Linked DNA regions of Notamacropus eugenii. The protein of the gene in region 1 interacts with the protein of each later gene in a biochemical or structural test. Links are inferred from orthologs where the notes say so. Each region holds a gene or a part of one and is shown in the gene's direction. Other genes may lie near its edges. The genes, in order: EIF2AK2, TARBP2, EIF2A and PRKRA.

Evidence for each region.
Region 2: the proteins of EIF2AK2 (region 1) and TARBP2 form a complex in vitro, tested with the Homo sapiens proteins (2 studies listed by BioGRID, with this or other methods). The link is inferred for Notamacropus eugenii from reciprocal best matches to the Homo sapiens genes EIF2AK2 and TARBP2.
Region 3: of the proteins of EIF2AK2 (region 1) and EIF2A, one has a biochemical effect on the other in vitro, tested with the Homo sapiens proteins (4 studies listed by BioGRID, with this or other methods). The link is inferred for Notamacropus eugenii from reciprocal best matches to the Homo sapiens genes EIF2AK2 and EIF2A.
Region 4: the proteins of EIF2AK2 (region 1) and PRKRA form a complex in vitro, tested with the Homo sapiens proteins (3 studies listed by BioGRID and IntAct, with this or other methods). The link is inferred for Notamacropus eugenii from reciprocal best matches to the Homo sapiens genes EIF2AK2 and PRKRA.

Annotation. Positions count from the first base shown.
Region 1 is NC_092872.1:541,934,144-541,941,952, reverse strand, and holds the start of EIF2AK2 (interferon-induced, double-stranded RNA-activated protein kinase), read left to right. Parts: upstream 1-4,809; 5' UTR 4,810-5,005; exon of another isoform or gene 5,006-5,325; intron 5,326-7,809.
Region 2 is NC_092874.1:226,512,918-226,520,732, forward strand, and holds the start of TARBP2 (RISC-loading complex subunit TARBP2), read left to right. Parts: upstream 1-4,814; 5' UTR 4,815-4,874; coding exon 4,875-5,011; intron 5,012-5,675; coding exon 5,676-5,875; intron 5,876-6,382; coding exon 6,383-6,485; intron 6,486-7,815. UniProt on the Homo sapiens protein: Required for formation of the RNA induced silencing complex (RISC). Component of the RISC loading complex (RLC), also known as the micro-RNA (miRNA) loading complex (miRLC), which is composed of DICER1, AGO2 and TARBP2.
Region 3 is NC_092877.1:339,451,392-339,458,718, forward strand, and holds the start of EIF2A (eukaryotic translation initiation factor 2A), read left to right. Parts: upstream 1-4,314; 5' UTR 4,315-4,583; coding exon 4,584-4,650; exon of another isoform or gene 4,651-4,660; intron 4,661-7,327. Other genes in the region: SERP1 (stress-associated endoplasmic reticulum protein 1), read right to left, coding at 2,130-2,170, 2,872-2,947, 3,042-3,125. UniProt on the Homo sapiens protein: Functions in the early steps of protein synthesis of a small number of specific mRNAs. Acts by directing the binding of methionyl-tRNAi to 40S ribosomal subunits.
Region 4 is NC_092876.1:241,651,485-241,659,044, reverse strand, and holds the start of PRKRA (interferon-inducible double-stranded RNA-dependent protein kinase activator A), read left to right. Parts: upstream 1-4,548; 5' UTR 4,549-4,597; coding exon 4,598-4,662; intron 4,663-4,687; exon of another isoform or gene 4,688-4,782; intron 4,783-4,792; exon of another isoform or gene 4,793-5,056; intron 5,057-5,330; coding exon 5,331-5,500; intron 5,501-7,560. Other genes in the region: PJVK (pejvakin), read right to left, coding at 1-64, 1,420-1,479, 2,101-2,311. UniProt on the Homo sapiens protein: Activates EIF2AK2/PKR in the absence of double-stranded RNA (dsRNA), leading to phosphorylation of EIF2S1/EFI2-alpha and inhibition of translation and induction of apoptosis.

The DNA of each region.
Region 1 (7,809 bases):
TGGGTAGGCATAGCAGTGATAACTAAAGCCATGGGAATTATTGATATGACCAAAAGAGAAAAAAGAGCTAGAGACAAAACCTTGAGAGACACAGATATATAGGAGATGGGGGTACAAGTGTGATTCAGCAGAGACTAAGGAGTGGTAAGGAAAGTAAGAGAAAAAGTAGAAGATTGTGTCCCAGAAGTCAAGAGATGAAAATATCCAGAAAGGGAGGGGAATAGCAAATGTTGCAGAAAGATCAAGGATGATGAGGACTGAGAAAAGGCCACTGAAATTTAGCAATAACATGATCATTTGTAACCTTGGAGAGAGAAATATCTGTTGAGTGGTAGGGAGAAGAAGAAGATTTAAAGGGCCTAATTGGAAGTAAGAAATTGGGAGGTAAGGAGTGTAGAAAATTTTCTAGGACTTCAACTATGACAGGGATGATTGCTTGAGGCAAGTGAGATAGGGCCAAGTGAATGTTGTTTAATGAAAGGGGATATCAGCGTCTATTTGAAGACAACAGGGAAAGAGCCAGTGTATGAGGAGTGGTTGAAAATTAGGAAGACTGATGGGATGACCAAAAGGATAAACTCCTGGAAAAGATGGAAGGCAATGGAATCATAGGCATAAATAAAGTAGTTGGCACTGGAAAGAAGAAAGGATACCTTGTCCTACAAGACTATAGCAATAAAGAGGAGGGGAAGGGGTAATATTGAAGTGATCAAAGTATACATTTGGATAAAAAGGAAAGAGATGGAAGGATGGTTTCAATGTTTTCAGTGAAGTATAATGTCAATGTCCTCTACTGAGAAGGAAGAGGAATGTGGTAGGGTAGGTGCCTTGAGGAGAGAAGAGAAAGTTTGAATTATCACTGCTGGGATAATAATGGAGCGGGGAAAGGGGGGGAGACAGAAAGACTTCTCTGCAGTAGTGAGCACCCAGTTGAGATGGGATAACATAAATCTGTAGTGGGACCAATCTGATGATTTAGAGGGGTTTCACGATGTGAAGAAGAAGAGATAAAGATGACTGTAATCTTCTCAGTCAAGTGAAAGGCCCAAAAATCTGCTGAGTGAGAGGTAATGAGGTGGAGTAGGGAGTGGAGTTAGGGGTATGAAGAGAGAAGAGGTTTAAAATAGCTGCTGGAGGAGACAAAGGGAGTAGGAAGTCAAACCGAGATGAAAAACAGGACTGCCATTGATCAGTGAGGACTCAATTGAAATTAAGTAGCACTAATTTGTAGAAAATGCAGTCAGCAAAGTTTTGTGACTTTTGTTTCAGTACTAGTTAGCAACACAGGTTCACAGAAAGCAGATGGCAGGGGTAGGGAGGTACCTAGAGAGGGAACATTGGAAGGATGAGGGTTGGGGGATCAATGGGTACAGGACAGTACATTATTATAATGGCTAACCGCAGGGCCAATATTGTGAAGGGAGGCTGGAAAATAAAGCCAAAACAGGGGTGATAGAATGGGTAAACAGGTAAGAGAGATGAAGTTGAAGAACAGGAAAATCACATTCGGGAGAAGTGATGTCACCACCGCCCTTCTAGTACCTCAAGTTACAGAATAATCCTTGACTCATCATTTTCCCTCACCTCATATCCAATCAGTTCCTAAGTCTTCTTGATTCTTTTTTTTCAGTTTAAAATTTTATTTTCAACATTTATTAAAATTTTTTTTGAGTTCCAGATTTTCTCTTTCCCCTCCACATATGGAGAAGGCAAGTTATATATGTATTATACATGTGAAGTCATGCAAAACATGTTTTCATATCAGCCATATTGTAAACAACAATAACAGGAAGAAATATAGAAATAGTGAAAAAATGTATGCTTAATCTATAATCAGAGTCCAACAGCTCTCTCTCTAGAGGTGGATAACATTTTTCATCATGGATCCTTTGGAATTGTCTTGAATCATTGTCTTGATCAGAAAAGCTGTCTTTCACAGTTGACTATTGTTATAATATTGTTATTACCGTATACAATATTCTCCCTGTTCTGCTCACTTCACTTTGCATTAGTTCACGTAAGTCTTCCCAGGTTTTTCTGAAAGCGTCTTGCTAGTGATTTCTTACAATAGTATCCTATTACAATAGCATTACATTAGTAACAGTATTATAACAGCATACCATCACAGTCATATACCACAACTTGTTTAGCCATTTCCTAATTGGAAAGAATCTGAGTCTTGAATGACTCAATTGCATATGAAGAGGCCAGTGTGACAATGAACTTGACCACAGAACTCTAATATTTTTGTCATCAGTCATTCATCTGTAAAAGACTCAAAGGGAAATATAACTGGGCTGAGAACTGTAATTAAAGGTAAAGTCCCTCACTTAGAGAAGCCACCTCTGGCTCCCGAAAGATTTTCAAATAATGTAGGATGAACTTCCCCCATTTCTTTCCTAGAGTGTTCTGCCAATCCTAGGCTGAGTTATTGTTCTTGCTGAGAAGAGCACTATGCTCTTCAAAGAGCCAGTTCAATTGAGAAGCAGAGCAACTCATCAATCATTAATGTCCTCCAGAGAAACAAAGGGCATAGAGGAACTGCAGTTTAGGAATTGTGGGTTGCTTTGACCATATATGTTCCCAGATGTGTGGCTCTACCATTGTACTTTAGAATCACACCCACTCTTCACCCCAAAATTCTGTGCGTATTTGTGAATGAATGCACCCCACATTTTGGTGGAAATACTTTGTAACCACTATTTTTGATATACCATATAAATGAATGACTTTGCAAAGAACTGAGTCTACTGGCTGATTTTTAAAGGCAAGAACACTGGTGGGGGCTTATGAGGAAGTCCTCCTCTCAACAGAGTTTCCTCTAGAACTCTGAGAGTAGCAGCCTTAGCCTGTCCATACCTATGTGGGTGGGGGAAATGAGTTCAGAGGAGGGTGCTACACATGGAAAAATATATATATTCAATTTCATATTTAAAGCCCATTGTAATCTGGATACGATCCGACTTCTGAGAGTCATTTCACATTATTCCCCTCTACCTATTTTATATTATTGCCAAACTATACTACTCTATATTCCATCTCTTCATTCTATACTTTTCTATTGATTATGCCTCCTTTCTGCCCATCCCCCCACCCAGTGCATCCTCATTTATGTTTTTTAGAATCTTTAGTTTCCTTCAAAGCTCACTTCCTACAAAAGCCTTTTTCTCTTCCTCTAGTTTTTAGTGCTATCTTCTTCCTTAAACCATCTTGTATTTCTGTTTCTGTTTACATATTGTATAGCCTAGTGAAATATAAGCTCCTTGAAGGCAGAGGCTGTTTTTCATCTTTGCCTTTGTATCCACAGAAACCTAAACAGGAGCTCTGAGGGAAATCTTACTAGAAATGCATATCAGTTACTTTGTAAACTGTAGTTGGCTGGTTCCTTGAGAGATTAAATAACTTGTCCAAGGTAAACCAACCAGTATGTTTCATAGACAGGACTTAAACTCACTCCCAGGGCAACTCACTATCTGAGTTTTGATTCTTGAAGGTAGAGCAGTCATATTGAAACATGAGAAATTATATTTACGTATGAAATCTAAGATACAAGCAGTCTCTGGATGGCTTGAGAAGATGCAGAGATGGAGAACATGGGAGTGGAAGCTGAGGAATTGACCTGAGAATGAAGGGCCATCACTGAGAAGAGTAAAGTCATAAAAGACCATTGCAAGTTTAGTGGAAAAGTTTAGAGAAGAAATAACATGTCAGGTGCTGAAGTTACTGAGGAATGCAGATGACAGTCTTGAAGTTTAATAAATGGTGGCTCTAGGATATACTTCAAAGGACAGTTGGTTAACTGATAGAGGGTCAAATAGTAGCAGTTGGAAGAAAGAGCTTTGCCAGCTCCTCCTTCTGGACTTATGGTATATATGGCATATATGTGTGTATATATATAGACACCACAGTATTATGTATATATGTATTACTATATATATAAGAGCACATATGTGTATCTATGTATGTGTGTATGTGTGTGTAAATATGTATATGTATACACTACAGTACATTATATTATGTATATAGTAATACTGTACAGAAACAGTACATATGTATATGTGTATACATATGTGTGCGTGTGTATGTATAACAACTGAGGAAGCACTCATTGGCCCTCTGTCAATAAGAGGAAAGGAGAAAAGCAATGTGACCAGTAGTTAGAGGAGAGTGGTGAGCTACTTTCTGGGGAAAAAAACCAAACCAAGCTATTTTCTGTTTGTATCCAGAGATGGTAGAGGAGAGCTTGAGCAGGAAGGAGAATTTGTTTACAACAGAGGCAGCTCCAGAGAGCAGTTTGAAGAGGAGGCTAGGATCAATAAGGCTCAATAACCTGAGAGAGGTAGTGGAAAAGAGGGGACTTCCTTAGGCCTGGGGTAGCAACTAAAAATTATTTGGTATGCCGTTAAATTATAGGAATTCGCTAGCCTTAGGGCAAACCTGTGAATTCATTCCAACAGTATCTTTTGCTTCTCCAGGGTTTCCGAATGCTGGGTGTTTGAGTGTAAAGGACTAACCCTACAAATTCCTGCCGAATGCTTTGAATAAAGTACGAATGGATAGGCTTTAAGCGGGCTCCACTCTCCCCAAATGAGTTAGAGAACTTCTTGTCTAATTGTGGGCTTGCCCTCCTTAAGCCCCTACCATGTGCCAAGCAGAGGGGCAAACAAGCAAACCCGAAACTCCCTGACGTTAGGGGGTGGGGGAGGGACACCCAGATTGCTCTTCAAAGACCCGTTTGCCAAACTCTTTTCCACCTCTGTGCAATCAGTGGGATCCCTACATTAAATACATTGGCATCCTGTTGCCCTCGGGCCACACTCGGCAGGGCGGCCCCGAGCGCTGAGGAGGCGAGGGTCGCTAACTCTGGTCCCTTCTCCCCAGCAGAGCTAACGGGGGGCCGGGCTGTCCGACGTGGGGCGGAGTCTGGGCGGAAAACGAAACTGAGAAAGCCCTAAATCGAGAGATTTCGAGGAGCAGCCGCTGTGCGCCGGGAGCGGGGCTGGAGGTGAGTTGGCCCGGGGTCCGGGGAGAGGTTCTGGGCTCGAGGGGAGCACTGTCCTTGGGGGATAGTGGTCCGCGGCTCTGTAGCGCGCGTGTGCATGTGTGTGGGGTGCGGGTGAGTCTGACCACTGTGCAGCCAGGAGCTTGGACAAGCCCTCGGACCCTCCGGGGAGGCAGCCCTTGAAGGCCCCGGGTCCCCAGAGGAGGCCCCGGGCTCCCCGAGCAGCCCCGGGGCCAAAGTGCGGGCGTGCCGGGGGATGACGCAGTGACAGGAGCCCCGGATCCATCGCGGTGCTGACCCTCAGCGACTGACGCTGATTTCGGGTAAGCCCCTTTGCTGCTCTGCGCTTCAGTTTTCCCATCTTTAAAATGGGATTTGGACCAGCCAAGGTCAAGTCCCCTTTAGCTCTAGTCGCCAATCAGTGACCCACAGATGCTCAGCCATTTCTGGAAGAAATGAGATTGAGAACGGAAATGAAACTTAGAGGTAAAGTAAAGAGAAGAGCTGTAGAGCTCCGGAAGGGTCGTGGATGGTGATGGCTGGTGAAGAGGGAGCAGAGAGAATCAAAATAGAGGACAGTCCAAAACCCTCGCTTTTTCGTGTTTCATGGGGACAGACAGATGAATGAACACGGACGGGGGCTCAAACCAGGCTTGTCAGAAGGAAGAGGACTAGGGAAGCTAGAGTTATTCATAACCTGGATTATCAGTTAATGACAAATAATTAATGCTCACTTATTAATTGATTCCTGGGCGGCAGGCATTGCACTAAGTACTTGGTATATACAAGGGGAGCAAAAATAGTCCTTGCCCACAAGGAGCTTACATTCTGGCAAGAAACCATCATATAAATTAATAAGTACATTCAACATTTGTCCAAAAAAGATGGAAGTTACTTTAGAGGGGAAGGTTCTGGCAGCCCAGAGTAGATTAATATTGAAATGTGTTTCCTGAAAGTTCAGGAAGATACATTGATTGAGTTATATTCGTACAGAAGGCAGTTGGAGGATTTCTGAACCTGTAAGTACTTTTGCAAGCATTTGATTTCCATCCCCATCCTGCACCAACATCACTATTTTAATTTGTTTAGAAGTATCAGAGAGGCATCTAGGTGGATAGAGGTGCAGAGGATAAAGTCCTGGGCCTAGAGTCAGGAGTACCTGAGTTTAAATCTGACCCTAGATAGTTACTAGCTAGTTGACCCTGGGCAAGTAACTTAATCTTTATCTGCCTCAATTTTCTCATCTGTAAAATAGAGTTAATTATAGTGTCCACCTTACAGGCTTGCTGTGAGGGTAAAATGAGAAAATATTTGTGACAGTGCTTTACAAACCTTAAAATGCCATGTAGGATGCAAGCTATTGCTATTATTAAAAATACATATTTTACCAGACTCCAAGATTTCATGTTCAGATGGAGTCGAATTAAAAAAAAAACTTCCCCAAAACAAAAGCAATCTAATTGCCCAGTTAAGGACCCCTCCTGGACCCTCTAGTTCTCTCTTAGCCTCTTAATCCCACAGAGATAGATGTTTTCATTTCAGTCACTGATCAGCAGGATCCATTTTACTGAGAAAGGATGGCTCTTCTGTACTGGAAGGACTTCTGTATACCTTTCTACCTATCATACCACATCAGTAAGTGTCATTTATGGACACTGTGGTAAATGCACTTTCCAGTAGGAAGATGTAGTGCAAAGATGATTAAACTTGGAGTCTGAAGACTTGACTTCCAGTCCCTGCCCTGCTATTTATTAGCTGTGCAGTTTGGGTAAGGTACTTTGTCTCTATGACTATCTACTAAATGAGAACTACTAAATGTCTCTATCTACTAAATGAGAACTTGAATTAATCCTAGGAGCATAGATCCAGAGCTGGAAGGGACCTTAAAGGCCAACAAATCCTCTGATTTTACAGATGAAGAAACTGAGATAGAGAGGTTAAGTGATTGCCCAAAGTCAATCAGTCAATTAGTACTTGTTAGTCATTAGATACTATGTCAGGAGAATCAAATGAGATGCTATGTGTGGGGTGCTCTACAGCTATAACGTCTGATGTAAATATGAGATGTTATTATTGGCCTGTAAGGTCCAAGGTACGGGTGAATGAATGCTAAGTTAACCAACACCTTGTAAAATTTCTTCCTCACAATAATCCTATGAAGTAGGCGGGGCTCAGGTGACATCATTTTCAGGAATTGAGGAACTAACTGAGACTGAGAGAATGAAGGAGTCTTGCCCGAAGTCTAAGAGCTTCTGACTAAGCTGTGCTAAGTGTAGCAGTTGGTGTAGAGGAAGGAATCCTGGTATGCCCCTCTTAAGGAAAGCCCTTCCAAAGAAGGTTTGATCTTTTTGCTTTTACAAGGCATTAGTGGATTGTTGTTTTCTGAAATCCAAAATGACTTATATGGTTGGAACTGCTCTAGTGTCATATTGTTTTTTGAGAGGATTATTATGATTAATAAAAATGTATAATTAATAATAATAATATATAAAGTCAGAGAGATGTAGTAATCAGGGTGCTATCCTCAGAGTAAGGAAAGCCTGAGTTCAGGACCTGGCTTTGTGATCCTGGTTTTGTGAATGAAATTTAACAAAAAGATAAACCAAGACATGTTTCTTCAAGTAAGATAACAGTTTATTAATAGGGCACTGTACCTGTTAATGAAAGGGTCAATGGCTACCTACCTCAGTTTCTAATTAAAGACCAAGAATTAGAGATGCAGCTTCTTTTTTTTTTTATAAGCATAAAACAAAGAACAGCACAGGTTAGGTAAAGAGATCATAGCATTGGTTATAACATTGGCAGCA
Region 2 (7,815 bases), on another chromosome or scaffold:
TAATGGTTGTCATGACTGTGTCTAAGGGACAGAAGGTAGGATTCAGGACTCATTGGTCTCAGTTTTGGGATCTGGTCTTGCCATTCATACTTGGTACCTCTATTTCCCTTCCACTTAGCACCAAGAAAAATCCTATTTCCTTGGGATCATGGCTGGGAGTCTTACTAAAAGTTCAATGTAGCACAACAACTATAGATGAAGTGATGCTTCCCATACCCAGCAGCCTCAGTTCTTTGAAATCCTCAGAGAAAGAAAAAGGCAGAAAGGAAGGAAGACACAGGAGATGGCACAGAGTAAGGGTAGGGAGGGGAGACAAGAGAAGAATGGAGATCCCCAAAGGAATCTGATGGTTCTTTCTTCTGGATTCAACTCTACTTGAATCGTTATAAGAGCATCTCCCCTCCCCCCTCATCTCCCTAAAGGGCTCATGAAACAGATGGAGGTTGGGTCTTTAGGGATACCCCTGGAATTACAGGGGTAGCAGAGGCTGGACAGTAGATAGAGTGGGGAGGAGCCAAGGTCCTTGCTGGCCACCTGCCTCCCCCAAGATTCTTTCAGGGGTCAGATTTCTTGTCTCCCTGGACTGAAAAAGGAAAGAATAGAATGGGTTTTGAGGACAGCCAGGGCTACTAAGAACCAGAAATCCAAGGTTTGTGGAACAGAAGGAAAAGTCTTATTAAGGAAAGAAACTATCTAGTCCAATCTCATCATTTTACAAATAAGGAAACTGAGGCATGGAGAGATTAAATATGGCTAGTTAGCAACAGACCAGGATGTCCAGGCTCTTAGGTACATCATTCTTTCTGTTATACCATCTTCTGTCTTTCTTCCTTTAATTACAAATCACCAAAGAATGAGCTGCTACCTTAAGGATCTCCAAGCACTTATATAACTTCCTATGCTTTCTTTCCTGCCGGTCACTCCACTCCAGCTCAGACATGCTGGTTGTCTGGCTGTGTGGCGGTGTGTTAGTTGGGGGGACGCATTGGGTAGTTGTGGGAGGGGAGTAGCTGTGGGAGTGGAAGTCTGCCTCTGGTAACCCCAGTTTCCAGGATGGGCTGAGGGACAACAAACACTGTTCTCATCCCCTAAATGAAAAACAGGCTTGGAAGGAAGTAAGCATTTGCTGTGTGTAACAGTAGCATCCAGCATAGTTAGATACTATGCTTAACACTTTACAAAGATTCTCTCATTTGATCCTCATAATCATGGGAGATAAGTGCTATTATTATCCCTACCATACACAGCTATACGGTGCAGTGGATGGAACAGTGGGCCTGAATTGGACCTCAGACACTCACTAACTGTGTGACTCTTGGCAAGTTACTTCACCTCTATTTGCCTCAGTTTTTTCAACTACAAAATGGGGGGGGGGGAGGTGCAGTAATAGTAGCACCTACCTCCCAGAGCTGTTGTGAAGATCAAATAAGAGAATATTTGTAAAGCTCTGGGTACACAGTAGGTGCTATATATATAAATGCTTATTCCTTCTTATTTTAGAGTTGAAGAAACTTCAGCAGCAGCAGAAGTTAAATGACTTGCCTGCGGTCACACAGCTGATAACTATGTGAGGCTGGAGTTGAACTTAAGTTATCCTGACTCTAGGCCCAGGGCTCTATCCATTGGGCCCCTAGGTAGGGCTCTTTACAGGAAACACTGAAAGCAGTTGGGCAGAGGAAGCTAGATTTGGCCTTTTTTCGTACCTCACTAATCCAGCTGTGTCACCAATCTGGCTAAAACCCCATGTGTTCAGAGGCTGAGAAAGGACAGAGTTTAATTCAAAATAAGGGTTGTCAAACCTGGAATCAGGGCAGGTGGCTCTATCTACAGGGATACTGGTAGGATCTGGGAGAAATCCTTCACTGTGGCATCGAGGTAGAGTCAGGAGGACCCCAGTTTGAATCTTGCCTCAGACATCTGGTAGCTCTGGGGCCCTGAGCAAGTCACTTATCTTCTCTCAGCCTCAGTTTCCTTATCTGTAAAATGGGGGATAATAACAGTATGGAGCTCCCAGGGCTGTTGTGAGGAGCCAATAAGATACATGTACAGCACTTTGTAAAGCTTGAAGTGCTATAGAAATGCCAGCTATTATTCCTAGCCTGACAGAAAACTGGGTTGCTGGAGAGAACTCAGCTGGATCTTTCTTCCCACCTAGAAAGATAGGCTTGCAGGGTCAGGGAGAATCCCAGCGTCCCACCTAGAGATTCGGCTGCTCTCATCCCAAGGAGTTGGTGAATCTCTGCTCCCGGGGTGAGGCACCCCCTCCCTTCTTAGGGCCAGCTCCTTCCCGGCCCCTCATGCCCTACTTCCTCCGTTTGGGAGCCTTCCCCCTCCTCTGTGCTCCTGTCTTCATCGAACCCAAGGCCGAGGCCAGGGGAGGGATGAGGCGGAGAATGGATGTCACATTGGGGGGGGATGCAACAGCTGGATGGAGGAGGGCTATCCCGCGGGGAGCCAGGCGCCAGGGGGCCTAAGGTCTGGGCACCCAGGAGCAGGTGCCTTCGGTGCTGCAGGCTCCGGCTCTGCCCTGCCAGGTGCGCCAGGCCTTGCCCTGCCCTTCCCGTCTCCCTCCATCCTCCTCCATCCACACTCGGCTCCTCTGCCGGTCCTACCCCCCCCCCCCCCCCTCCCCCGGCCTCCCGCCCGAATCGTCTCCCCCGGCTCTGCCCCAGCCTCCTCCTCCGATCTCCACCCTCCCGCCCCCACCGCCCTGGGGCTCCCATCCCCACAAGCTCGCGGAGCCCCCCATCCCGCCGCGCCCCGCCCCTCCGGGCCGCAGGACCCCCCCACTCCGCGGCGCCCCCCCGGGCCCGGCTCTCACCTGGGGGGCTCGGCCGCGGCCTCAGCACAAAAGGCGGCGCTGCTGCGGCTCTGCTCCGGATGCTGCTCTCGGCTCCTCGCCTCCACCCCTCCCTCCTCCTCCTCCTCCCTCCGCCCCCGCCCGCTGCCCCTGACCGGAGCCGGGGCGGTGTCACGGGCGATGCTCCGGCCCGCCGCGTCCAGGGCCGCGGCTCCTTCCCCCGACCCCCACCCCCCCCCGCCGGCCCGGCCCCCGCCCCTGGCCCTCCGGGACGGACACGCCCTGAGCGGGGGAGATGCGCCGGGAGCCGCCGGCTTCTTAAAGGAGCCCGCTGCTCCCTCCCCGGCCCAGCTTCTAGCTCATCCCCCCGCTCCTGGAACCGAGACCCCTCCCCGCCCCCTCCCCCAGCTCCCCCCGCAACTCGGGTATTGGTTCCCGCTCTGCCTCTCCCCAGGGCCGCCCCCCGCGCCCCTCAAGTTGCCTCTCCAGTCCTCGGGGTCTCCCATGTCCGCCGTCCTCCCTCCAAGACTCAACATTAGTCACAGAGCACCCCTTTCTTCCCCCCCTCCCCTCAAACTCGCCCCAGCTCTCTCATGTTCCCCCATCACCTGGGTCCAGCCAGGCCTTTTCCTCTGCCTACATCCCAGCCTGACGGGATCCCGCTCAGGACCCCTCGGGGCACATTTTTTCAACTTCTTTCCCCCCACACAGATGAAAATAAAAACGGTCTTCCTTGCTTCCCCTCTGTCCCTTCTTTTCCTCCAAGACCCCCCTCATCCTAGAGCTCAACAAAGGAAGCTTTTGGATTCAATGGGAGCCGCGGCCTGGGCCTCTGGGCGGACTTCCTCCAGACCTCGTTTGGACCCTCGGGCCCCTTCTTTCGCCGGTCGGCCCGAGAGGCTTAAACCCGTACAAAGATGGTTGGCTGGGGTTGGTTAGGAAGAGGAGGGGTCTCCATAGCTCTTCACCCTCACCACCCCACTCCACTTTCCATCCACAGCTCTAACTCCACTACCATGGACAGTCCCCGAGTGAGTTTCCTTCCATCTTTCTCTAATTGGTCTTTTGGCCCAAACGCTTTCCCCTCCCATCGCAATCCTGTACCCCCCAGCATACTGGTTCCCCGGGATGGGTGAGAGGGAATGGCTAGAGGGCAGGACTTCTCCCTTGCCCTGTTGGCACCTCTCTTTCAGGCTTCTGGGGACAAAGGAAACACGAGGAATTTGGGGGTCCTCTGGGAGGGGATGGGGTTACTTGGTGCACAGGAGTTTACCCAGGCAGGGTCAGGTGAATGATGCACCCGGGGGGGGGGGGGAGCGGGGAAGAAAACAAGGACTGGGGCTCAGAACACCGAAGCAAGAATGGGGTGCGGATTCTGTAAACTGGGGGACGCGATGGATTTCCAGGAGCGCTCACTGCCCCCGCTCCCCTCCCGTCTCCAGCAGGAAGCCCTCACTCCCCGGCACACTGCAGGGTTCTGCCGGCTTCTCCAGGCTCCCCTCAGGGGGCGGGTCCCTCAGCCAATCACAGGTTCTCCTGGGAAAGAGTCCATAGCGCCCAATGTTCCGTGGTGCCCCAACCCCGCTCCCCAAGTCTCTGGTCCTCTCGCTTTTCCCTTCGGCTCCGAGCGGGCCAATCGCAGGCAGCTGGCTCGGAGGGAGTTGGCAGGAGGAGCCAATCGACGTGGCTGTACCCGTGGCGCGTGCTGGGCACCACCCCTTCAAGGGGAACTCGCTCAGCGGCCACGAGACTTCTGGATCTTGTAGTTTTCCAGGCTCCGCCCATCATCCTCCAGCACGCATGCTCACAGCATCATCCTCGCACACCGAGGAGGGCAAAACAGTGAGCGAGTTTGGGGGGGGGAGGACGACTCTTCCCAGAAGCCACTGCGACCTGGGTGGGCTAACTCCCCCGGAGAATTGTGGGGCGGGTAGCCTCGCTTCTCATGGAGGCCAATGGAATGGGGAGGATCGAGGACTACAAGTTCCGGCATGCTCCGCGACGCCCCCCCCCCCCCCCCCCCCCCCCGCCCACCTCTTTCCCCCGGCCCCGGCTCCGGCCCCGGCCCCAGCCCATGCTCGTTGGCGGCGGCGGCGGCGGCGGCTCGGGGCGCGCGGAGCCTGCAGTCACGGTGGCGCCCGCAGGGACGGAGGAGGGAATGAGTGAGGAGGAGCAGGGTTCCGGGATCATCACAGCCTACGGACTCCCCAGGTGAGTTGGCCGACTCACACTGACCCCTGCAGGGCGGAGGCCGCAGTGCGGGAGGGAGGCGGAGCGCGTAGACCCAGCATGCACCGGGTCTTGGAAGGCTGGGGCTGGGGGTTGGGGGTGAGGAGGGGTGGTTAGCCCAGCCACGGGACGGGACGGGACGGGACGGCACTGCGGTGGGGGGGGTTATTCCCAGCAGCCACCACGGCACGGGCTTTTCTGTTCCCACCATGCACCACGGTGGTGGCTGCTAAGGACCCACCATGCACTTGGGTGGAGGCTACCCAGCTTTCAGCGTTTACTTGATTTCCCAGAATGCCCCGAGACAGCGGCCCCCTTTGTTCCCCGCATGCCCCAGGGCTGTAGGCCCTGAGTTTCCCATCATGCACTTGGCCGGAGGAGCCAAGGATGCTAGACTCGGGGGCATTGGCCATGAGCCCTCTGTTCCTCACTCCCTAAGGGCGCCCAGGGGGTGGTCGTCAGCATGCCCCTCCCCGCGCCCTCTGGCTCCCCTCCCCGCCTCTGGACAGCTGGTGGAGCTGCTCCTCGCCTCCGCCCCGATACCCCTGGGCCCCTAGCCATCCCGCACCCCGGGTGCCAGCCGGCAGTGCCCGTCAGTGGGGGGTCCGAGAGGGACCACGATGCAGGCCTGTGTACCTCCCCCTAGTATAGAGCAAATGCTGGCGGCCAGTCCCGGCAAGACCCCAATCAGCCTTCTGCAGGAGTATGGCACCAGAATAGGCAAGACTCCCGTGTACGACCTCCTCAAAGCCGAGGGCCAAGCCCACCAGCCCAATTTCACCTTCCGAGTCACCGTCGGTGACACCAGCTGCACTGGTGAGGGGGCGTCGGGTGCCCTGGCCAGGGGTGCGTGTTCTCAGGACCTCCACCGGGCTTCGCCTGGGGGGAGGGGCCTTTACTTTCCTCCCAGGGGCTGGGGGCGGGGTGTCTGAGCCTCAAGTGCTTCTGAAAGTCAGCTGGAACCAAGAGCATGCTTAGGTATGGGGGAGGCGGGAGGAACTTAGGAGCCTCCTCTTGGTCGGGGTGTCATCTGCAGCCCCAGAGGGGCAGAATGCTGTCAGACACAGGGATCACCTGATTTTACTTAAGTATGCTTCTCCAGAATAATGAGAAAGAGTTCTTTTGGTGGGAGGGCACTGGAAAAGGATAGGTTTCTTAAAAACATCGATGAAGTATTTTTAAAGGACTGAGAGTAGATTGTGAGATACTAGAAGAGATTAACAGACACTGCTAGGGAAGTGTCTGTCTGGAATGGCCTGATTCTAGTCCTGCATGGTGGTGGGTGGTGGGGGTAGCAGGAGATGGGGATGAGGGTTCTTCTGGCTCTTGTGTAACCTGCCACCCCTCTCCCAGGTCAGGGCCCCAGCAAGAAAGCTGCCAAACACAAAGCAGCTGAGGTGGCCCTCAAACACTTGAAGGGAGGAAACATGTTGGAGCCGTTTCTGGAGGATGGAAGGTGAGGTGTGTCCAAGTAATTTTTGAGCCCTTGAGAAAACTGCCCTACCCATCTGAGCACCACTTACTACCTGAGTTAGTAATAGGCAGTTTGATCTCTCCCACCATCTACCAACAGCTGAGTCCACTCCCAGGGCATAAAGAGCTGTTTAGTGGCCCCTCGAAGGATCAGTCCTTACGGACCCTGATTTAGGGTTGAAACTTGAGGTCTTAGTCTAATAGGGGATAACCTCCAAGCAAAACTCCTTTTTCCTATTGTTTACATTAGACTGTGAAGGAGTCTTAGTACAGTGGTCATTCACATTGGCTGAGCCGAGCCCCTATTGAGGGGCCCTTGTTTTAGTCATGTCCAACTCTTTATGACCCCATTGGGGGTTTTCTTGGCAGACATACGGGAGTGGTTTGCCATTTCCTTCTCCAGCTCGTTTTACAGAGGAGGAAATGGAGGCAAACAGGGTTGAGTGACTTGGCCAGGGTCACACAGCTAGCCAGTGTCTGAGACAGGATCTGAGTTCAGGAAGATGAGTCTTCCTGACTCCAGGCCTAGTTCTTTGTCCACCACTGCCCAGAGAAGAGGTCCTTAGGGAGGGTAATTGTTTGAGGAGATTGATTCCCACAGGGACCTCTGCCCTGTCCATATTTCCTCTTCTCCTGCCAGTCTAGACACTTCTAAAAATGCTAAATCCTAAATACCTCCAAAATTCTAAATACGTCTTTTGGCTCTTTGAGTAGAAAAACTTCCCCATTCCGCTGAGAGGCCATTGGCTCTGTCTTCTTTTGGGCTTCCTTCTGATGGGTGAGAAGACAGTACAGGATGGGGAGAAACATGTTCCCCAGTCCTTGGGAAGTTGTCTTCTTAGAATGCCCGCTCTCTGCTGATACCCCTGTTGCTGGGCCTGATTCACACCCCACCTCACCTCAGCAGCAAGCAAGGCTTCAAGGAGTGAAGGGAGTTGGGAGTGGTTCACCTTCTGCCTTGGGCAGGTCTTTTCTGAGCCCCAACAGGCTAAGACTGAAACCAAGCCGCCTGTCTATCCTTGTCACATAGTGAAGTCCAGCAATGCTGGGGGATGCCTGAGGGGAGGAGTGGTGGAGCTGATACCAGCAAGTGGAGTTGGGGGCAGGAAGACTGCCATGTGTCCTCAAAGAGATGGGCTGTTTCTGTGCCCTACTCTTTGGGACTAGAGATAGTTGGCTTGACCTGGGACAGATGGTACCTGTGACTTTCTCTCCTCTCTTTGGTCAGAACATGTTCCATATTCTCAAATCTAAAGTCTAGAGTTCTTCAAAATAGCTATTTCGAGGGGAGCAGACAAGTCTTCTATGGTGTG
Region 3 (7,327 bases), on another chromosome or scaffold:
AAACAGCATAATACAAAGCATTTTATCATCTAATAATCAGACATTTAAATGAGGTTTTGTTTTCCTTTACAAATGCATCAAATACTGAGGGTATTTTTATTTTTAATGGGGGCAAACCAATCAAAAAGCACAGATTTTCATTTAACCAAACATGCATAAATTGCTTAATATAAAATGCATAAAGTGGGTAAATTACATATGTAAATACAAAGGGAATGGAGTTTTTTTACAGATGTGAAATGACTAATTTGTACACCAATTTAACAGTCAATTTAGTCACTAAGACACTGTAAACAGAAAATACTTATTTGAAGACAACAGTACTAAAGCAAGAAAAAATTTGCAATGGAATGGTTTGACTCAAAACAAAATTAAGGCACCTGCTTCAAATTTAGAGCAAAAATTTGCATTTTTATAGTAGTAGAATCTGTTAACGAAGGCATTTTTCTTCAAATGACAAACAGGGACTTGGTTATGCTAACTGAAGGGGCAAAAAATACAACTAATGAAGGAGATAGAATCCTATCTACCTTGGCCAAATGCCAGTACTAGCAGCTTTCCTGTTCTTTTAAAAAGACAGGAGTAGTTTACTTACCTCTGTTACACCTTCACTACCAGTGTCTTTGCTACTTTAACTGCCTCTGGTTAACAGCCTGGAAGTTAGTTAAGAGAATCCTGTCAATTATTCTTCTTCGTTACAGTCTTGTCCAGATGTCATCAGTGAGGGGTTAGGAAGCAGTAAAAGCCACTTCCCCATTTACCACATATGCCATTTTCATTAATACGCAAACCAAGCTTTGTTCACTGGTTCCCTATAACTACAATCAATGAGAGGAAGTCATTAGTGGCTGGGTTTTTTCCAAGTTTCTCAAGCTCAAAATTTAGCTCTTCCCATCCTCAATGTAACAGGAAAGGTTAAATGATAGCAACCAAATATCAAGTATCACACCCCTAACTTCAAGGTGAATTAAGATTAAGCCCAATGTATTTTGCAACAACATGTCAATACAACTTTACATATGTGCATCTTTACAGGGGAATTCTAATCTTAAGTCTAAAAAAAGTAGATTTAAAGTTGATCTTAATTTAGTTGGTGTGCCTTTTTTCTTTTTTGGTATTGAAAGTCCTATCAACATGCTATGAGATCTAAGGCACAGCTGGACTCAACAGCATGTCACAACCTGATAAATGAGTAGTGGAATTGTCATAATACCTGTTTTCCAAGTTATGCCATAGTGCACTGCTTAACTAGTATGGGCTAACTTGCGAATACTAACCTGTGGTGAATACCCTTAATATCTGACACGAACAATTCAAGTGACATTTACACAACACTTATAAGCCATCACTGACAGGTTCTACCACATTATCACCTCAAAGAAACTGCAGTAACCAAGGAGGTGACAGAATGTTTCATCAGGTTGTTTTTTATGGCCTCTTAGGTTTATTTAATCATGTGAAATCCAAGGTAGTGTAAAAGTAATAACCTCATTAAAATAAACGTTCTGGATCTAAGAATCTCCCTCTATAGTAATATTGTGAAAGCCTTTTCATTTTCAGGTGCCAATGGCTGGGAGTGGGGGAAGAAGGAAACTAGGCTAACTACATCTAGGTGTTCCATTTATAAGCACCATAATACAGCACTGCTAAATTTACCTAATGAATGTGCTTTCAATGAAAGACAGCAATAAAGTGCCTAGCTGCTATATAAAAATCAGCTTCCAAATTTTAAATTAAGACTAACTGCATTTATACATTAAAGGGCAAACAAAAATCAAAGATCTTTTGTCTATACAGATTTAGTCTACGTATCTATACTGCATACAGTTTTCAGAATCACATAGAAGGAGAATTTATACTTGACTGAATAAGTCGGGTCCACCATCGTAGATCAACAATCAAATTTTATTGCTTTATACATGTGGTGCTTCTCAAGGCACTGTGGTATGAACTAGAAAACTTGGAATGACTTGTGAAGGAACCTGGGAATGACACATGAAGGATGACATGAAGAGTCATTCTGAGGCAGGATGCTTTACTGAACTGTTTTTAAACCAGGGTATCAAACATCAGGAATGAGTTCAAGTTATAATTCACAGGAGAATGAAAACATCTTAAGGTCAGTCACTTCACATGCCCATCCTGATACTCTGAATAATCTGGAAAATTGCTGCAAGGAGAAGAGGCAAATATTAAAATAACGCTTGAAGACAATTCTTAAAAACTTGTGTTCATTTGAGGCGATCTACTTTCTCCCAAAGCACCGTTAAAACCTCAAGTTCCATTTCTCACAGAAGAATAAAAAGGAAATACAAATCACATACTCCTATTAGGTGAACGTTTTTTTAAAGTGAGATTTTCTTAGGTTCCTTAAACGCTAGGAAAGGCAGGCAGGGAGCAAAGAACGCCCAGGACCAGGGGGCGACACCCTGGCCAGGTCACTCGGCTTTCCTCGGGCTGGGGACGGGACGGACCCACAGCGGGTCTGGAATGGCTCAAAGCCCTTCCCAGGTCCAGATCCTCCACTTCCACCCAAAGTCACTTACAAACCACACGGGTGGTAGTCTGGCACCGCCAGCTTCGTCGCCGGCTGCTGCCCGGTGCCAAAGGAGGGCCAGGCCGGCGGGTACCTGCGCCGAGCCCCGGGGCCGCAGGGCAGCGGGGACGTATCGGGGGGGGGGGGGGGGGCGGTCAGAGGCAGGGCCCCCCAAAAGCCCCGACCCACCAGCGCCCGCGGAGGCTGCTCGGCTCCCATCACCACTGGCCATGGCGCCGGGGGCGGGGGGGCCTCCGAGCGCCTGGAGGTGACGGAAGGGGCGGACTCCGGGCCCCTCTCCGCCCCGGCCGCGGACACGAGTGGGCGACACTTACCCGAGCCACAAACCACAAAAATGAAGAGCGCCAACAACCAGGGCCCCACGGACGCCTTCTCCTCGGGGGCGTTCCTCTGCAAGGCGAGAAGGCGCGGCGTTAGTGGCGCCCCTGCCCGCCCCGCCCCCCGCCCGCCGCCCGCCGCCCCCCGCCCGGGCCGGCCGCCTCACCGACGTCTTGGCGACGTTGCCGCGCTGGGTGATGTTCTTGCTGTGCTTCTCGTTGGCCATACGGATCCGCTGCTTGGCGACCATCTTGGCTCGCTGCGCCCGGGGCCCGCCGGGGCCGCCTCCGCCGCCGCTACCGCCGCCGCTACCGCCGCGCTGGGCCGCGCTCACCGGACTGGGGGCCCCGGGCGCGAGCTCCGGCCGGCCGCTGGCGAGACTGTGCGCGTGCGCGCCGAGGGGGCGGGGGGCGCTCCGCTCCGGCTGTCACCGCGAGAGCCGCCGCGCCGGGGCACGGAGGGCAGGCCGCGCGCGCGCTGTCAGCGGGGCCGCGCCTGCAGGGAAGAGGGCGGCTCGTCCGGACCCGAAGCTGCCGAGGAGAAAGGGGAAGACCGCAGGCACTGGCCGAATTTGTAGAGGCGGCTCCGGGCTGCTCCGCGGCGTCCGGCTGCCAACGTCAGCACTGGGGAGGCCCCGCCTCGCGGAAGTGCGCAGGCGGCCGCCAAGCCCTCGGGGGCGGGGCCTCCCGCGCCCCTCCCCCGGCCTATCAGGGGCCGCCCCGCCCCCCGCCCGCCCCGCCGCGCCGGAAGAACCACGTCGTCGCCTCCGCGGCAGCGAGGACGTGTAGGTCCCTCAGGGGCCGGCCCCTGGCCCCGTGAACTCTGACCCGTCCCACCGGACGGACGGAGATCTCTTTCCGGGACAAGATGGCGCCCTCCACCCCGCTGCTGGCAGGTGGGTCCTGGGGGCCGCGGAGACTCGGGGGCCCGTGGGCCCGCGTTCGCCGCAGCAGCGGTCGAGGGCTTTTTGGGGCTGGGGTCGCCCGCCCGCGCGGTCGGCGCCGCCGGGGCTCGGGGGTCGTCCCCGCCACGTGTCGCGTGGCACTCGGAAGTGAGACCCGCGGAAGCTCCGAGAGGGCTGGAGCTGGGCGGAGGGAGGGTGGGGAGAGGAGGGGAGTGGGGCCGGGGCTCCGGGACCCTCCCCCCGCCCTCCCCGCCCCGCGGGGCTGGGCCAGCCGCAGGTACACGTAGCTGCTCTGAGGTCCTTGACCCCGGGTGACAGCCGGTGGCACGTGGAAAGGCCCCTCCCCCAGCTCACTGCCGCGTCTAATTAACTCTTTACGTGCGCGAGCGGGAGACACTATCCCTGAGGTGGGGGAGAGGGGGAGTCCCCGACGGAAGGGAAGACCCCGAAGACTAGACAGGACTGTGTAGAAAGTGGAATTTTAGCTGAGGCTTTGAGGAAGCAGAAGGTTCACGTCCCCTCCCCCCGCGGTGACTGGTCAGCTCTGTGGGCCCCGCGGTCAGTGGAGGAGGGAGGACGGCCGACGGCGGCACCCCCAAGCCCGGCCATAGGGACGATCATAGGGCAACCTTCCTGAGGGTGTCGGCCGGTCCGCGGTGGCCCAGTTTGGTGTCTGACCTGGGACCTCCGAGAGCCGGGGCAAGTGACTGGTCCAGGGCCACATGCCCAGGATGCGTCGGAGGTGCCGCGGGAGCCCAGGTCTGCCAGGCTGGGCCAGCTCTCCCTCCACCGCGCGTTCACCAGATGGGTGCTGAATTGAGCGTCCGGAAGACGTGGGTTTCTCGAGTCCTGCTTGAGACCCACTCTCCGTGTAAGCCTGGGTAGGGTAGTCACCTTTCTTAGTTTCCTCTCGTTTAGAAAAGAATGGAAATCTCTTTAGGGTCCAGTGAGATTACGTGTGTAAAGTGCTTCACCCACCTAGAAGGGCTAATGAATCGTCAGCCCTTGTTACAGTTAAATGCCTACTTTGGTTCTTCTGCGTGTTGTGATAGAAAAGACACAGCCTGGGTCCTGCGGTCGTTTACCCGGAGCATCACTGATTGAGTGCTGGACTTGGATTCCAGTCACTTCTAGTCATTACAAGAGTAAGAATAGCCAGGATCTCAAAGGTTTGTTGTGAGATCAAATGAAACAGTGTAAAGTGGTTTTCTGATTTCAAAGTGCAGTTGTTGTTAATCTAGAGTGATTAATTGACATCTACATTAGTTAATATTAATGGGGTTCAAAAAAGAAAAAGGGTGAAAGAACTGAACCTGTGGGAGTAGAGGCAGGGTTTATGGCCTAGAACAAGAACAGAGGGTCAAAAGCCCCAGGGCCCACGTTCTTTGCTTTCCACATTTTCTCAGAGTCACGCAGCTCTCAGATAGCTGAGATGGGCTGAGAACATGAAATCTTTGCCTTTCAATCTATTCCTTTTTTGCTTACACCATATTGACTCAAGATCATGAACTCTTTTTCTGTTGAGTATTTTGGGTGGCAGCAGAGTGTTCAAGATGTTGCCCTTTTTTAATTTCAAGTCCCAGGAGACTAGAACTTGGTCTGATTTCCCTTTGTTTTGCCCACAGTGCCTGGCATGGAAAAATAGGGATAGGAGATGAATCCGTGATTACATTACTTCCTCTGCCAGTGTAATTGAGCACTTTCACCACAGCATATGGTAGAGCGTTGTCTGGAGTATTGGCAGCAAACTCAAATAGATCAGATCCCTGTGACCACATGTTAACTTAGAAAACCACAGATTTACATTATGTTAAGCTGTATATTTATTTTGTTAAACATTTCCAAGTTAGATTTCTTCTGGTTGGGGGTGCCCACAGCTTTCCAGTTGGGCCCCTTTGATCTAGAGCACCGAGAGGCTGAGGAACTTGCCCAGGGTTCACACGGAATGGTACAATGGGGGACTTCAATTAGGGTCAGCCTGGCTTCAAAGCTAGCTCTCAAGATCTGCTCTGTCACTGCTTCTATGCCAGTTGCCCAGTAGGCAGTAGGTGTTTGTTTTTAAAAATGAATTCTTTATAAATGGTTTTTAAAAAATTGAGAGAGGCTCTGTCAGCTTTACTCTGGGGTGGGCACTCCTTGGCATAGGGATAGTGAGTAGTTAACTGAGCACCTGGAGAGGGGAGGCCTGCAGAAGGCAAAGAAATAAAATTTAGAAGGAAATAAGTGTAGGCCCTTGGAACAGGCTCAGGATAATTGATTTATGAAGAAGCAAAAGTCAGCAGACAACAGCCATCTGAAAGGGAGCATAGTTCCACCTTTTCTCCCTGACAGAGGTGTTCTCTGAATGATATAGAGGATTTGGAGTCATGTCACCTAATTTTGAATCCTGCTTCAAACACTTATCACTAGTGTGACCATAGGGAAGTCATAACCTCTCGGTGCCTCAGTTTCTCTTCTGTAAAATGACAGTAATATATGTTCAGAGGGTTGTTGTAAGGAACAAACAAAATAAAGTTTGTCACATGTTTTGCAAACCTTCAAGCAGCTATATAAATGTCAGCAATAAGAGAGATAAAAGATGAGAACATTTATGCAGTAACAGGTCTGTTAGGAAAAATACAAGAGATTGTGTGAAATGGTGTATGTGTGTGCAGAGTGCTATGGAAGCACTGGCTGGTGGGAAGGCTGAGGGACAGCTTCATGCACAAGACCTACTAAGACGGGCACTGGCCTGACAATTGGATGACCCCATTCTTGTTCCAGCTCTGCAGGTCACTTGCCTTACTCTCTTACTCTATAAAGGAGAGAATAAGATTTATTCCCAGTGAATGTTGTCTTCATCAGAGGGGAGCATATCCACATACATATCTACATATTTTCACTTTAGTTAGTTTCTCACCCAGAAATGATAGTTTTTTCCCTCTATACAAGTGAGATCACTGATCCATTCCCTATCTCAGTTCACATATGTGCACTTGATAAATGCTCAACAGAGCCAATGTGAGGTATTATCAAGAGGTAGGTGTTTACGTTTGACCTTTAAATTGAAAGATACTTGGCAAGATTTTGATAGATGGAGAAGGAAAGCAAGTAAAGAAGTAAAGAAAACAGCAAGAGCAGGAAAACCAAGGAATACGTCATCTAATTTAGCGGACTTGAAAGAATAGTGGACTATAAGGTTGAAGTATCCTGGAGCGGGAGGAAATGGAAGTTATTCTACAGTTGATGGGGAGCCAGTGGAGTTTTGGGGATAGGGTAATATACAGAACCATATTGTTGGGTTTGGCTTGGAATCAGAGACTGGGGGACTTATTAGGAGCTAGTTTCATTAGTTTAAGTTGATACGTAATGGGAACCTAAAGTAGGTTAGTAGGAACAAAAAGGCGACAGTGTTGTTGTGCAGGTTAGACTAGGTCAGTGGATGTAAGGATGGCAGTCTTATCAAGATGTACTATCATTCATATGTCTCATGTAATTGAGTGAGGTGCTTAATATCTGTTATTTGAGGGAACAAAGTTGACTTCCCAAAGTTTTTCCTTTCCAAGTCT
Region 4 (7,560 bases), on another chromosome or scaffold:
CGTCTTCCATAGAGGGAAACATCTGATTTATCTTCATAATTCAGTAATTGGTAGGATGAGATACCTTTAATAAAAGAACACTGATGTGTTTTAAATGTCTCTTACCTAACTACTATGATTGTTTTAAAAGTATATTAAAAAACCCCAAGGTTATAAATTATAAAAGTAATAGCAAAAATTTAAACCAAGATTTCAAAATATAAATTCTATTTATTAAATGTTAAATAATAAATATTCTTTTCTTTGTACTCAGGAAAATATCCCATGAAAAGAGATTGAAGGAGTGAGACAGTGAGAGTGTTTTATTATAAGTAACAATCTGTTGTTAAAATACCAATTCAAACTCTTCTATGTTCCAACTAGGTCAAGAAAAAAATCTAAAAAACTAAAATAGGCTACATATATATATTATATAAATATATCAATAACTTAACTTACATGACAAAAACAACAATGGTATCACAACAATAAGTAGTGGTAGTAGAAATAGATATGATAATGAATCCATTTCAAAGTGCTTTTGCTTCTACATAAGCAATATATGGCTCAGCATATTAGTGCTTATTTGAATTTAGGATGTTTCAGTTATTTTCAGTCACATCTGACTCTTTGTGACCCTATTTGGAGTTTTCTTGGCAAAGATACTGGAATGGGTTACCATTTCCTTCTCCAGCTCATTTTACAAATGAGGAACTGAGGTAAACAGGGTTAAGTGACTTGCCCAGGGTCCCTTATCTAGTAAGTATCTAAGGCTGGATTTGAACTCAGGTCCTCCAGACTACAGGCCCAGCATCCTATCCACTGTGCCACCTACCTCCCTGGTTAGGATAACCTGTATTCAAATTCTGCCTCTAGATCCTTACTATCTTTAGGTTGTTGTTCAGTTATGTTTGACTTTGGGACTTCCATGGACCACAGCATGCCAATGATGTACATAGGGTTTTCTTGGCGAAGATGCTGGAGTGGTTTTCCATTTTCTTTTTCAGTGGAGAGCAAACAGAGGTTAAATGACTTGCCGCCAGGGTCACATAGCAGGTAAGTATCTGAGGTCATATTTGAACTCTGTTTTTTCTGACTCCAGTACCAGCTCTCTATCCAGTGAACCACCATAGCTGCCTCTGCATGTTTAATATAATAATTATAGTATTTGTATGACACTAAGTAAATCATTGAACCTCTATGTGCCTTAAGCAATTTCTTAGGATTTATTTACAGTATCATAAATGAAAAAGAGTTCCTTATGATAACGAAATCCCTTTCGTCATCTGATTTAGTGCATACCACAAACTTAATCGGATAATGAGATAGGTATCATTCCCACTTTGTAGTTGTTTTAGTATGTGAAGTAGCTAGGTGACATAGTGATAAAGCCCTGGATTTAGGATCGAGACCAGTTTGAATTCTGCCTCAGACACTTACCAGCTGTGGCTAGTAAGGAATGACAAGTCACTTTATCCTTTTTAGTCTCAGTTTCCTTACCTATAAAATAAAAATAATAATAGCACTTACCTCACAGAGCTCTTGGCACCAAAGTCAATAAAATATGTAAAATGTTTTTTGTAAACTCTGAAGCACCAAATAAACTTTAGCTAATATTATTATAAAATGAAATGCAAGTTGATTTGGCAAAACAAGTTATTAAAAATTCAATTCAATACACATTTATTGAGCACTTACAATGAGCCAGGCACTGTGATAAGCAAGGAACTTAATAAAAATGAAAATTGCCTCTGCCCACAAGAAGTTTACTATCTACTCAGTGGACTCCCTCAGTGGAGGGAAAGATGTAAACAGTACAGGTATAAGTAAAAACAAAGCACTCGAGAGTGGTGGGAAAAGAGATGCCAGATTGAGAAGTTCCATGCATTTTAATGGATTTGAAAATGTTTCAAGCTCCTATTGGATTTGACACTATGTAAATTTGAAACATTCTTTCTTTTACTAATATCATTATACCTATTTCAACAAAAAAATTTGATTATCAACAAAAATCATGCTACTCCTGTTACATACTATCAGTATTTAGGTTACTAATATAGTACAAAGACTAGTTAGTTATTGTAAAAACAGGCTTTTCAAAAAAGCTATTGAAAAACTTACCAGCTGAAATTTCTCTGTCTCCTAGGAGAATATCATTCAGTGTGAAAGGTGTTGAGGTAAATTTAGCTCTCTGTAACAAAAAGCATCTTTTCTTTTTAACCACAAGGCTCAAAGGTTGATATTTGTCAGCTTCACTGAGGCTTGGAACCGGAACTAATCTCCCTCCATCTCCAACTTGCTTAACAAAGCTCTTGGTAGCAGCAGCAAACATATTAACATAATATTAATGATAAAATACTTCATCAACTGCAACTTTCAGATATTAAATCCATATTCAAAAGGCTAGTATATTACAGAAAATTACTATGAACAAAATTAAATCAAGGATGAATTTTTAAATGCAGTTATACACTTAATTAGAAAAGTAAAATAACCTGTTTTCACTAACTAGTTTCCAGTGTGCAGAACTCACTGATCCCTTTCAGCTTCATGTACTCAGCATAATGAATTATACATCAAGTGTAAACTGATATGTTAAAGGTAAGACTGAAGCGCCACCACTGCCATTCTATATGACTAAAAAAGCTAACAGAAGAAACTGATATTAAGTGGCAATAATGTCTCTTGTTAGGGCCAGAGGTAAGGAAGTATGATCAGGGTAATGGGTCCGATACAGTATCAGTTCTGAAGGCTACATTGCCAAGACCTGAAGATTAAAATGACAAACATTAGCCCTGCATACAATCTTCAGTGGAACTGAGCCAAAGGAAATTCCCTTACAAGTTAAAGATGCCAGTTTTGGCAGTAAGTTATGCCATTCTGAGCAACAGAAAAGGAATCATCTGGGAGCAATTTAAAGACTTTGATTTTCTTATGTATCTCATCTTACCCTCTTCTACGCAAAAAAACCCCAATAATGTGGGGGACGGAGGGGATGCATATTAAATGAACATTTTTAGCGCACAGCGGGATCCTTTTTATTGCCTTAAGCACAGTCCCAGGATTCATATTCTTGTCTAATCAATTCACCTTGGATTTTTACTCTCTGGATTCTGCTTAAGTAGATAGAATGAAAAGCCCGGTTCTAAAGGGCCTCTGCAGGTTTTCCTTGAAGGGACGGTCGGAGGTGGAGAGGTGAGGCTCAGGAGAGAGCATCGCCCTCCAAGCCCTCCAACCTTTGGGACCAGAAGGGGCATCGTCCCCAGTCGGGACGCAGCCCAGAAGTGGAGGGAGGCCAGAGACGCCAATCGATGAGCATTGTTTGACAACGATGGCTATCTCCTTTGGGGCGGCCCAGGAAGAGTGCCAAAGGTTTTCCAAAACCTTTTATAACTCAGGGCTTACACGCACTCTGCTCAGCCTCAGGTAATAAAAATAAGACGACGACCAGAAGGATTTTTTTTTTTTAAAAAGAGGAAATCCCTTTAATGCCGCGGGTTGGTCGGGAGCCCCGGGAGCCAGGCTCGCGAGCGCAGCCGGACCGAACCTGGATCGAGCAGGGATAGGGATGCCTCCTGCCCAGCCCGGAGGAAGCGGAGGAGGAGGGGAGGGCGACAGTTGACTCGTTAGAAAGGGGAGTGCGCTGCAAGGAGGGACCGGTGCAACCTTCGCACTGGCATCCCCAAAGTCCAGCTCGGCTGCGGGCACCGGCTCTGCCACGACGTCCTGGCGTGCGGCCCGGCAAGCCCCCAGGCCCAGGGCTCCCTGGATTTGGGCCCCCCGGGCTCAGGACGTCGTGTGGGACTCGGGAAAACGCTGGTTATACAGAAAGGGAGGGGAGGTCATGTTTTTAGTGAGAGGGGGATCATTTGTCATTCGGACATGCTTCCGTCACATCTCGGGATGGAAAACGTCCGTGGGGTTTAAGCGAGGAGAGAAGGAAGGGAGTCCCACTGCGTGTCCGCGGGAGGCCCACTCTGGAGGATCTCGGGGAGAAGGGCAGCGGAGCGCTCCCACTATGGCGGCCCTGACGTGCCCTCTCCTCAGGCCGAGGCAGAAATGCCCGGATAGAGAATGAGGACCCTGCCAGCGGCCCCGACCGCGGCTCCGCGGCGGGGGGGCGTTGTGTCAATGACCGCACGCGTGGGGCCCGCGCCCGCAGACTCCCGACGGAAGGTCCGTTTGGGGGCCGAGGTCTGGGGCGGCCGCGGCCCGGCTACTAGGAGCAGGCGCTGGGCGGGGGGCCCGGGCCGCGGCGGCAGCAGGTGCGGGCGCGGCGGGGGGAGCGAGGGGGGCTGCGCCATCGGCTCCTCCTCTTCTCCCCCGCCCCCCGGAACCACAACAGGGACGCGGAGGAGGAGGGGGGAGGAGGAGGAGAAGAGGGACAGGAGGCAGCTGAAGCAGAAGCAGCAGCAGCGGCGGCAGAGGGGGACGGGAAGCGACCACCACGGCGACGGCAACGGCCACAGCGACGGCGGCCCCGGGGGCCAAAGAGGCCCCTCTTGGGGACGGGCCGCCCAAGGGAAGGAGAGCGAACCCCCGGTCCCGAGCCCCCCCCGCCGCCCCCGCGGCGGCCCCAGCCCCGCCGGCAGCCCCCGCCGCCGCCTCCCGGCCGAGCATGCCCCAGGGCGGGCCGCACACCGCGACCTCGCCGCCAGCCCCGCCGGACAGCGGCACCTTCAGGTCAGTCCGCGGGCGGAGCCCGGCCTGAGCTGCCCGGCCCGCGGGACACCAGGTAGGGCCTCGCGGGGAAGGAGGGGAGGGGGCCCGAGAGGACGAGAAAGCCTTCGAGTTGCCTTCTGGGTAAGGGTGCCCCCTCCCTTTCTTTCCCTCTTCCCCCTCCCCCATCCACCTCTTGGAGCCGGGAGAGGCCCCGCCCTCCAGCGTTCTACTCCCTCCCTCCCCCATCTCACCCCCCCCACGTGGGCGGGTCATGCTGGAAGAGCCGCTGCTGCCGCCTCCCAGAAGCCCCAGGCAGCTCGGGTTACCTGAGCCCCGACTGGCTTGAGACAGAGGACGCCCGCGGAGCCTCGGAGCGCCTGCTTCCCTGAGCAGGTGCTGCTGGAGCCAGCGTTCTCCCTCTGACCCTCGCTAACCTCCCCCCTCCTGATCCATGCCCCTGCCAGCCCAGGAACTCGGAGCGTGCCCCCGCGCGCCGGGCCGGCCTCGTTTTTCGGAACTCCAAAGAGGTGCAGCCACCTCGTTTTCTAGTTTTAAGAATGAGAAGTGAATTCCCTTCCATTAGCTTTAGGGCCCCCTCTGCACAACTGAAAATCTTTACTTGGTTGGCCTCTCCCAAGCACGCAGCCCCCCTTTGGCATTTCTAGCAGACGACCTTCTCATTTACGCAGGTTGGGGAAAATGATCACAGCCAAACCTGGGAAAACACCCATTCAGGTGTTACATGAGTACGGCATGAAGACCAATAACGTGCCCGTGTATGAGTTTGAAAGAGCCGATGGACATGCCAGTACGCCAAGTTTCACCTTCAGAGTGACCGTGGGCGATATAACCTGCTCAGGTCTGTATACACTATTAAGAGCATTGTCCTAAAGACAGGCTGTAGCGCCTTCGTTGGGAAGATACCCCAGGAGAATATTGGAACTGGAAAAGTGTCAACTTAGGTCAGAAGAAAGACATTTTAAACTTTATCCTTTTGTCTCATTTTCTCTCTCTCTTTTTCCTCCCCCTCTCCCCCAGGTGCCTTCAGAAGTCCAATTGAAGACATAGTCATGGAGGCCTCCTGCTCCCTAAGATATTTCTAATGGTTCCATTAGGCTACCTCAGAATCAGAACTGGAGAGTCTTTAAAGATGAGCAGGTTCTCCTAAAGTAGCCCTGGGGACTGAGATAGTTGTTAATAATGTGTCCAAGCTCACAGCCCCTACTGGAACCTTGATTTCCCATTTCCCATTCCACTTTGCAACTTGTTAAACTCAAGGGAAAGTGGATATGAATTCTCTTCTCTCCCACAGAACTTTAGAAAGTCCTTCAGCTTTCCTAGGTCAGTGCATATTCTTGTTTATTTACCAAGCTAGAGCTGGCCCAGTGAAACATCTCATTCTGTATCCAAAGAAAAGAAAGGCAATGAACTTAGAGAATTTACATGTGAATTTTCCTGTTTGTTAAGTATGAATACTCTATTCATTCCAGTCGTTAATTTCTTGAACATGAAACACACAGAAAAACACATTGCATTTTATTTGAAAAAATACATGTAAGAAAAATAAATCCAAATGCAATTGGCAAGTTTTATGATCCATTCATCTAAAAATTAAAGAGGTCACAGTTTTTTGTTTTTTTTCTTACTGAGGTGAAGCTGCATTTCATATTCCTGAAATGTATGAACTCTGGTGAAAGGGCATAGGAGCTGAGGTAGAATGTAGATCCCTGATGAGAGCAGAGGAGAATTAATCACTGTTCCCCCAGGTGGGAATTGGGGCAAAAAAAAGAAAGTAGAGTCTTAGAGAGGAGAGCAACTTTTAAGCTTGTGTAGTCTAATCCCTTCATTTTATACTTGAGGCAGCTGAGGCCCAGAGATGTTATGTGACAAGCACAAAGTCAAACATTAGGTAGCAGAGTTAAGATATGAATCCAAGTACTCTGACTGTAAATTCCACACACTTTCCACTGCACCTTGCTGCCTCCCATACAAGGCCAAGACACCAGTTTGTAAATCTACTTAGAGATAAACTAGTAAATCAGGAACTTTGGTCGGGAATCTATATTGAAAGTAATCAGAAGCTTAAAATCATGTTTTTCCCTTCTTTATGAAACATTGATTGTGTGACTAGAGGAGTTAGAGCTTAACCACTATGAGCCTCAGTTTACTAATGTGTAAAATCAAAATGTTTGTACCACCTGTCTTGTTGAGTAAACTTTAGACAGTTTGCTCTGTCAAACACAAAATAAACATAGGAGCTAAATGTGTTCTGTGTTCAAACCAAAAAAATAGCAAGGCTATTTTGGGTAGTCTTTGTTTCTGGGATATTGTTTATATAATACCATAAAGAGTCATCATAGCATAGTAGATGAAGAGTTAGGAAGACCTTGATTCAAGATTTGCCTCTGATACATATTGGCTGTGATACTGGGCAAATTGTTTGATTTCTCCCTGCTCTGGGCACCTCTAATTAGAGTTGCAGATCCATTTTGATGGAGTTTTCTTACTGGAAATTTCCTATACTAATGAAATCATAAGTTTGGAACTATATAAATGTAAGATAGCAAGCTAACTATATATAAGCTCAGTTGGGAAAAAAAAGCAATAGTTCTGTTTTTCTCTCAGTACAATTTATTTATTTTTTATTTTTTTTATTTTTTTTTTATTTTTTAATGTTTAACAATCACTGCCATACATCTCAGTACAATTTAGACCAAGGACCAGAAATCAACAGAGTACCTATAAAAGATAATTTCATCTCTCTGCTGACTGAATCACTCCTTCCTCTCTTCCCCTTTAACACACCCTTGTTTTACTCCCACCTCATTTTATTGGTAAAAATGGAAGCTGTCTTCTTAAAATGCCTTATTTCAGAAACTATTGATTATAAAATCTTAGAAGTTAGAAGGAACTTAGAGA